Linked DNA regions of Chlamydomonas reinhardtii. The protein of the gene in region 2 binds, or shares a complex with, the protein of the main gene of each other region. Links are inferred from orthologs where the notes say so. Each region holds a gene or a part of one and is shown on either strand. Other genes may lie near its edges.

Region 1 (3,888 bases), on a different chromosome or scaffold from region 2:
CGCCAAGGCCGCCTCTCCCGCTGCCAAGGCCGCCTCTCACGCCGCCAAGGCCGCCTCTCCCGCCGCCACGCCGCCTCTCCCGCTGCCAAGGCCGCCTCTACCGCCGCCAAGGCCGCCTCTCCCCGCTGCCAAGGCCGCCTCTCCCGCCGGCAAGGCCGCCTCTCCCGCTGCCAAGGCCGCCTCTCCCCGCTGCCAAGGCCGCCTCTCCCGCCGGCAAGGCCGCCTCTCCCGCTGCCAAGGCCGCCTCTCCCGCTGCCAAGGCCGCCTCTCCCGCTGCCAAGGCCGCCTCTCCTGCCGCCAGGCCGCCTCTACCGCCGTCACGCCGCCTCTCACGTTGCCAGGCCGCCTCTCACGCCGCCTCGCTGCCTATAACTCCAAGGTAGTCCTCCTTCATGGTTGCAATACAAAACTGCAGCAGCGCACACACGGGGGCACACACACAGAGACAGAGACACACAGGGTCGGCAAGGGCAGGCACATGGAAGGGGCGGGGCGGGGCGAGGCACTAGCCGTCCAGGATGACGAGCGGCATGGGCTGGCAGGCGTGTCGCGACAAGCACCAGCGGCAGAAGGAGGACAGCGCGCGGCAAGCACAACCGCCTTCCCTACATTTCCTCTCACACGCACACACGCACGCACTCACCACTTCTGAGGGGTCGTACTTGATGCCCACGATGCGTATACGCACGTGCGTGCCGCCCTGGATGCGAGTGGTCTGGTCCATTGATATCCAGCTATTATCGTCACTCGTGTCAAACTCGAACTCGTCCGGAATTAACTGCGTGGTGCGGCGTCGTGGCGAGACCAACAGCAGCGTTATTCAGCGCAGGGGCAGCAGCGCAGCGGGAGTAGGGCGCCACATGGGGCGCGTGCAGGAGTCACAGCGGGTGTGTGTGGGCAGCCATTGGGTTACCCAACCACCTCCCTGCCCTCCCCTCCCCGGGCCCCTCGCCGCCCTCCTGTGCCGCCCTCCTTTCCCCGCTGCACAGCTGTCACACACGGCACTGGCACACAGCATTTCACGGCATTACTCACATGCTGTGTGACGAACAGTTGTAGCGGCCCTGCCTGGGCGAAGAAGCCCATCTGCATAGCGTGGCATGGCATGGCGTGGCGGCGTGTTACACTTTAAAAAGGTCTCCGCCTTTGTTGCGATGTTGGCAACGGGTCAGCCGGGCGGCTGGGCCAGCGGGGAGTAGTACGCTAAGTGCATCGCCGAAACGAATGGGGGTGGAACAGGGGTTTGTAGCTAGCGGCGCTGCTGATGCATCACGTCACCAGCAGCTGTCCACATTTTAGTGACGGGCAGCCGCACAGCCAACCGCACCCCACGCCTCCCGCCCTTCCTCCATGCCCTGCACTGCCCGCGCCACCTCCACAGCATTCCCGCCCCCCTTCCCCTGCGCCCCTCCCCCCATAAGTATTACCGCTTGCAACTAACGCCTCTGCCTGCGCTCCGCCAGTTAGGCTTGGTTTGGCTTAGTTTGGGCTGGTATATACAACTCCCCTACTTCGCTACACTTCTCTGTACCAAACTATGCATCCCCCCATCCACACACACGCCCCGCACACCTTGTTGACGGAGGTGACCACCGCGTCCAGCACCTCGCCCTTGTAGGGGCGGCACACGATGCAGCCGTACGACACCTCAAAGGTGGCGTAGCCCGACTGGTCCTGGCGGATGCGGCCCTGCGCGGCGCGCGTGAGCAGGGGTGCCCACGTGCCCGATACCGGGGCGCGTCGGGGCGTGTGTGTATGTGCGTGTCAGCGCGGATGCACACGTATGTGTGTGTGTGTGTGTGCGTGTGTGTGTGTGTGTGTGTGTGTGTGTGTGTGTGTGTGTGTGTGTGTGTGTGTGTGTGTGTGTGTTTGTGTCTGTGTCGAGGGCGGGTTACATTCATGATTATTTAAGAAGTGAAGGCGTAGCCAGGAGCAGTAGTAGTGGGCAGGGATGTGGACGGGGCCTCGGAGCCTCCCCCTCAGCCCCCCCTCAGCTGCCCACTGTTGCCTGCGCCAGTCCTCAGCCGCCGCCTCTGCTGGCGTCCGAATCCTGGCGGCGTCAGGAGCCCGCTGCCCAGTGGTGCCCCTGGCCGCCTACCGCAGACAGCTCCCACGCCCCCTCCCGCACCCCTTTCCTTCGCAGCGGCCAGGCTGGTAGGTTGTAGATACCCGCCCAAACTGAACCGAACCCAACGCATTAGAGCGAGGAGATGTGGGGCCACGCCAAGGCCGCAGCCGCTGGCGCATGACGGCAGCGCCCGACCTGACCCAACTCATTCAGGAGGCTCCTGGGCCCATCCAACTCTTACTCTCCCTGTTCCCCTTTCCCCTGTGCCCTTTGCCCGCGCCGCCAAAACACACACGCACACGCAGCTCTCACCCGGCCAATGTCGTCCACCTTGGTTACCGCCACCACATAGCCGTACTTGCCAGTGCAGGTACCTTCCGTCTGTACGTTTGCGTGTATGCGTGGTTTTGTCCGTAAGCACGACTTGCACCAGCGATTGCACTCATTGCGGGTAGAGGAGCAGGGCGAGTAGTGTGGCGGCAGGCTCGGACGCCCTGCGTGCGCGCCGCCGCAAGCGGGGCCAGCTGCGGCTGTGCACGCCCCGGCCAGCCTTGTGCTAGCGTAGCAAGGTGGTTCGGCACGCACGAGCTTTGGAGATTTTGTATTGCGCCGGTGTAGGGGCACGTAGGCCCAGCCGGGCTCCGAGCTCCCTGACCCCCGTGCCGACCTTCCCCCAAAAGGTCTTCCCGCCAAGTGCTCGCTGGACTAGCGGCATACCTCCGCAATAAGCTTCTCACGAATGACCTCCCGCAGCTTAGATCCAAAGTGCTTAGGATGGATGTCCAGTGACTTGCTGAGCGTCAGGAAGTAGAACATCCTCGGGCGGACTAACCTATCGCCGACTACCCTAGCACGCTATGCGTGACTCCTCTTGAAGTTACAGCGTTACTACTTGTGGTAAGTATGAGTATGAGGTGGCTGCAAGAAATTCTGCGAAGGGATGGGGCACTGAGCCTGGTGGGGACTGGAGCAGGTGCTATAGTAGATTCTAACAAAATCATCATGCGTAACAAAGTTAATTTGAGGGGACAACTTCAGACGAGACGGCATGGGCCGAAGTCTCATGCAGCAAGTGGCCAATAGTTCGCTTCGCTGTCCTTTCCCGAGTTCACCAGCTATTAATTACTACAGTGAAGACTAGCCAGCAGTGGATGACTCTGCCCTGACACGCTAGCACTGAGTATTGCTAGTAGGAGCTGGCTTGCCTCCATTCATTAATTACACTGAAGCCTGGACTCATATTATTATTTCAGGTCGAATTCATAACAAATATTGACGCTAGTTTCTAGTGAAGATGTCACCCAACCCGACATTTGGTTGAACCCACTTGTGAAATGGCCGGAAGGTCGCGTTCGGCTTTACCAACGCGTAAGAAGGACGCGGTGGATGAGTTATTCGCTCATGAAATTGCGGCATACAAGCGGAATGTGGAGAAGGTCCACTACGTGCGGAGGCTGCACGAGGACCGGGCAAAGGCAGAGAAGCTGCTGCGTGACCTGCTGAAGAAGCCAAGCCCGCAGGTGGGAAGGGCTCGTGCCTGTGCAGTGCCGAAGGGGCTGACACACACGTAGCGGGTCGCGGCAGCTGCCAGCGAGAGAGCGCCACGGTCACCCCTCAGCCTCCCCAACACCCCAAAACACGCCACGCTCCCCCTCCGGCTTACCTTGCTTATCCCTCTCCTCCCTCTCCTCTCCCGCCCCTGTGCAGTGTGAGGCGCTCATGGCCAAGGCCTACAGGCTGGAGGACGCGGGCCACCTTGGGGCCGCCGCGGACGCCTACCTGCGCGTGCTCACATGCCCCGACCAGGTGCGGGGGAGGCC
Region 2 (3,807 bases):
GATATGAGGGGAGGGGAATTCAGGATGGCCAGTGTGTCGGCGGCAGGGAAAGAGGGCCTTGCTCAGCCAGCCCGCCGTGCCCCCCCGTTTACGTGTGTTCCTATGCCTGCCCCCCCCCTCACCTGCGTGTCCATGCGCGTCTGGTAGTTGGTGGCGTACATGCCCATGGCCTGCTTGCCCATGGCGGACTGGTAGGTGTTGCGGGGCGACTGGTTGTGGTCGGGGAAGGGGATGATGGAGGCGCACACGCCCAGGATCATGGCCGGGTGGATCTCGCAGTGCGTGTAGGTGGTGCCGGTGGCGGCGCCCGCCTCGCGCGCGTTGCGCAGGTCGGCGATGGTCATGGCAATCATGGTCGTCTCCTCCTCCTCCGCGTCAATGTACCTGTGCGGGGGGCGGGTGCGTGAGGGCGCGGGGTTGGGTCCTGCCTCGCATCCACACCCCTCCTGTATCAAACGCCCCTCTGCTGTACGGCCGTACATCACAACCCCCGTTTTATTGCTGGCGGCCCATGCTGGGCTTGCACTCCCCTCCGCTAGTTTGGCTTGGTTTGGTTCCGTTTGGGCTTGCACGCCCACACGCACACGCGCCCCACTCACTCGACCAGGCCGTCCTGCACCAGCTGCGGCCAGGCGTACTCGTCCTCGTCCGGCAGCGGGCTGATGAGGCGGCGGATGTGGTGCTTGCTCACCAGCAGCCGGTTGTCCTCGCAGATGTAGAGCGGGCGGCTGGCGCGGCCGTAGTCGGTGAAGATGCGCAGCTCCTTGAGCGGGCCGTCGTAGATGATGGCCACCTAACCAAAGAGGAGGACGCGGGAGAAGGGAGTGGTGGATGTGCATGGATGAGCACGTGTGCGGTCGCGGCTCCAAGCGCGGGCGGTATTAACAGCACACCGTGCATGCAACACCCTTACAGGTGGCTACTGTACTCCTGCTTCTGACGCGGCTCTGGGTCCTAGTTCGCAAGAAGACTATGGAAACCCCTCAACACCCGCGCAGCCATACACACACACACGTTTTTTTTGACACACACACGCGGCCGGCCGCACCTCGGTGCTGAAGGCCACCTGTCGGCGCATGGCCCTCAGGTTCTTGATGAGCGCGGTGGGGTCGCGCTGGATGCCCAGCCACACGCCGTTGATGAACACCTTGGTGCTGGCGGCGATGTCGGCGGGCGTCACCTCGTCCAGCGCCTCCGTGTTGAACTCCTCCAGGTGCGCCACCACCGGCAGAGAGGGAGTGCCCACTGCAGGGCGATGAGGAGGGAGGCAGGGGGAGCCGTGGGTGAAGGCCAGCAGGGGCAACTGGAGCCCGCAGCCCTGCCGTCGGCCGCCAAGCGCGAAACGTCGCCGTCGGCACATGCCCCGGCCCTTCGACCGGCCCTCAGGTGCCTGCCCAATCCGGCTACTTGGACCCTTCCCCTTCCCCTTCCCCTTCCCCTTCCCCTTCCCCTTCCCCTTCCCCTTCCCCTTCCCCTTCCCCTTCCCCTTCCCCTTCCCCTTCCCCTTCCCCTTCCCCTTCCCTCCCCCTCCTGGCCCACCCACCTGTGATGTAGCACATGAGCGCCATGTTCTTGACCAGCCCCACCGCCTGCCCCTCCGGCGTCTCGGCGGGGCAGAAGATGCCCCACAGGCTGTTGTGCAGCTGCCGCGGCTTGGCCAGCTTGCCCTCGCGCCCGATGGGCGAGTTGACGCGCCGCAGGTGGCTGAGCGTGGAGGCGTAGGTGAGGCGCGCCAGCACCTGGCTCACACCTGCAGGAGGGGAGGGAGGGGCAGCCGTCCACGGAGAACCGGGAGGGGGTTAACATTAAACCAATCCTGTAAGGAAACAGTCGCGCTGCAAGGAGGGAGGGGGGTTACATTCATGATTAATTAAGAAGTGAAGTCGTAGGCAGGTACAGTTGCAGAGTAGAGGGGGAGGGTAAGATAAGTGGCTCGAGCGCGAGCAGCAGGAGGCTTGTCGGGTGGTCTAGACGCGGCGCCAGGGGGGGGGGGTGCGAGCGGGCGGGCGGGCAGATGCATCGACTGCCCTGTCACCTGTCAGTACCCCTGTTGCCGTGCCCGCCGCTCACCCGCTCGGATGCCCTGCTTGCCCTGCTCGCCCCAGTTGCCGGTCGCCAGCGAGTACTTGAGGCCGCGCGTGATGACCTTGTCGTTGATGGCGCTGATCACGTTGATCTCCTTGCCCGCGTCCACCTGGGGGTGCGGGTGCGGGCGCGGGTGTGGGTGTAGGCGCCGGGGGGCGTTCACTGCACCGGCACCCACCTCCCCTTTTCGCCCCCGATGATACAGCGCCAGTCCTGTGTGCAACCCCTTTCCTGTCCGTGCCCCCCCTCCGAAGGACTGGTGCAATCCCCCCCCTCCACTCCCCTCCCCCTCCCCCCCTCCCCCCGCCCACCATGCGCTGCGCCTGCATGCGCAGCTCCTTGCACAGCTTGCGGAACAGCAGCCGGAACAGCCCCGCCATGAGCGGCCCGCCCAGGTCCAGCCGCTTGTTGGCGTAGTGGTCGCGGTCGTCCTCGGGGCGCCGGCCCAGAGCCACAAGCATCAGCCTGCGGGCAGGGGGGAGGGGGCGGGGGCGGGGGCCAGCGGCCGAGGCAGGAGCGGGGTTATGGAGGGGATGGAGGGGGGCTGGAGGGGTCGAAGCGGGACATCAAGCACGGCAGGCGACGTGGCGGACAGCGAGGAAGCAGTGGGCGGATGAAAAGACCGAGAGCTGCCGGTGTGACGCGGTCCTGAGCCACCAGCCCACCGCCACCAGCCCACCGCGGCTGCATGGACCGCCAGACAAGGGCGCCACTGCCCGTGCCGCACCCGGCTGTGCTCCGCGACAGCGACAGCCGCCCCGCCGACAGCACCATACCCCACCAGGGCCCCACGCACCGGCCCCACAGCCGCCGCCCCCCTCCGCCCGCCCCCTCCCTCACCTGTGCACCATGTATCCCACGAAGTAGCCCTTGCGCGTCTCCATGAACTCCTCCGTGCCCAGGTGCGGCAGCAGCTCCTTGATCAGCAGGTTGCGCGCGTACTGGATGCGGTCGGCCTGCAGGGGTGTGGGTTCGGGTGGGGTTGGGGTGGGGGTTGCAAGGATGTTTGGAAAAGCGGTACAGGATGGGGGGGGGCGTGTGCGCGCATTTTAAGGCATTCAAGGGTTTCAGGTTTAGGTTGCGTGGGTGGGTTTTTGCACCCTAGGTAAGCCCGTGCACAGTTCCCCTCCCCCACCCCCAGCACCCTCCCTGCCGAGCCGCGCACCTTGCTGGCTCCCGTGACTGTTCCTCTCTTGCCCAGGTAGTTGAGCGCCTCCTCCTGCGTCTGCACCTCCTGCGCCTCCTCCACGCTGCTCCTCAGCGCCTCCAGCATGGCGGGGTCGGCGTCCAGGTCGTACACAATGTGCTCCAGGATGTCGCGGTCAGACTGGAGGGAGGGGGGCGGAGGGGAGGAGAGGGGAGTGGGAGGTAGGCGGGCGGTGGGGGGGTGGGGGGCGAGTGTGCACCCCGTGCCGCTGCTGTATCTCCTGCTGCATCCCCTGCTGCATCTCCTACTGCTTCCCCTGCAGTCGGGTCTTGTTGGGTTACTACCCCTCCCTCCCTCCCTCGCCGCGCCTCGCCCCGTCGACCCCACGCACCACGAAGCCCAGCGCCCGGAAGAGGATGAAGATGGGGAACTCGGCCCGGATGTAGGGGATCTGCGCGCGGATGACGCCTGCCGCGCCCGCCTTCTTGCCCTTGGCCAGCATCATGATGCTCATGCTGCTGGCGGAGCGGGTGCTGCCCTCCACAACAGACCTGCATGGGGGCGGGCGGGGGTTG

The links.
Region 1: CHLRE_02g075150v5 (region 2) and CHLRE_16g667750v5 share a complex: the UniProt entries of both Arabidopsis thaliana proteins name them as parts of the RNA polymerase II complex. The link is inferred for Chlamydomonas reinhardtii from reciprocal best matches to the Arabidopsis thaliana genes NRPB2 and NRPB7.

The regions. Positions count from the first base shown.
Region 1 is NC_057019.1:4,315,111-4,318,998, reverse strand, and holds the start of CHLRE_16g667750v5 (uncharacterized protein), read right to left. Parts: upstream 3,051-3,888; 5' UTR 2,885-3,050; coding exon 2,786-2,884; intron 2,450-2,785; coding exon 2,381-2,449; intron 1,690-2,380; coding exon 1,573-1,689; intron 1,087-1,572; coding exon 1,036-1,086; intron 779-1,035; coding exon 644-778; intron 410-643; coding exon 350-409; 3' UTR 1-349. Other genes in the region: CHLRE_16g667800v5 (uncharacterized protein), read left to right, coding at 3,403-3,588, 3,776-3,874. UniProt on the Arabidopsis thaliana protein: DNA-dependent RNA polymerase catalyzes the transcription of DNA into RNA using the four ribonucleoside triphosphates as substrates. Component of RNA polymerase II which synthesizes mRNA precursors and many functional non-coding RNAs.
Region 2 is NC_057005.1:294,344-298,150, forward strand, and holds part of CHLRE_02g075150v5 (uncharacterized protein), read right to left. Parts: intron 3,784-3,807; coding exon 3,624-3,783; intron 3,413-3,623; coding exon 3,251-3,412; intron 3,042-3,250; coding exon 2,926-3,041; intron 2,551-2,925; coding exon 2,397-2,550; intron 2,195-2,396; coding exon 2,071-2,194; intron 1,751-2,070; coding exon 1,544-1,750; intron 1,246-1,543; coding exon 1,049-1,245; intron 794-1,048; coding exon 600-793; intron 385-599; coding exon 123-384; intron 1-122. UniProt on the Arabidopsis thaliana protein: DNA-dependent RNA polymerase catalyzes the transcription of DNA into RNA using the four ribonucleoside triphosphates as substrates. Second largest component of RNA polymerase II which synthesizes mRNA precursors and many functional non-coding RNAs.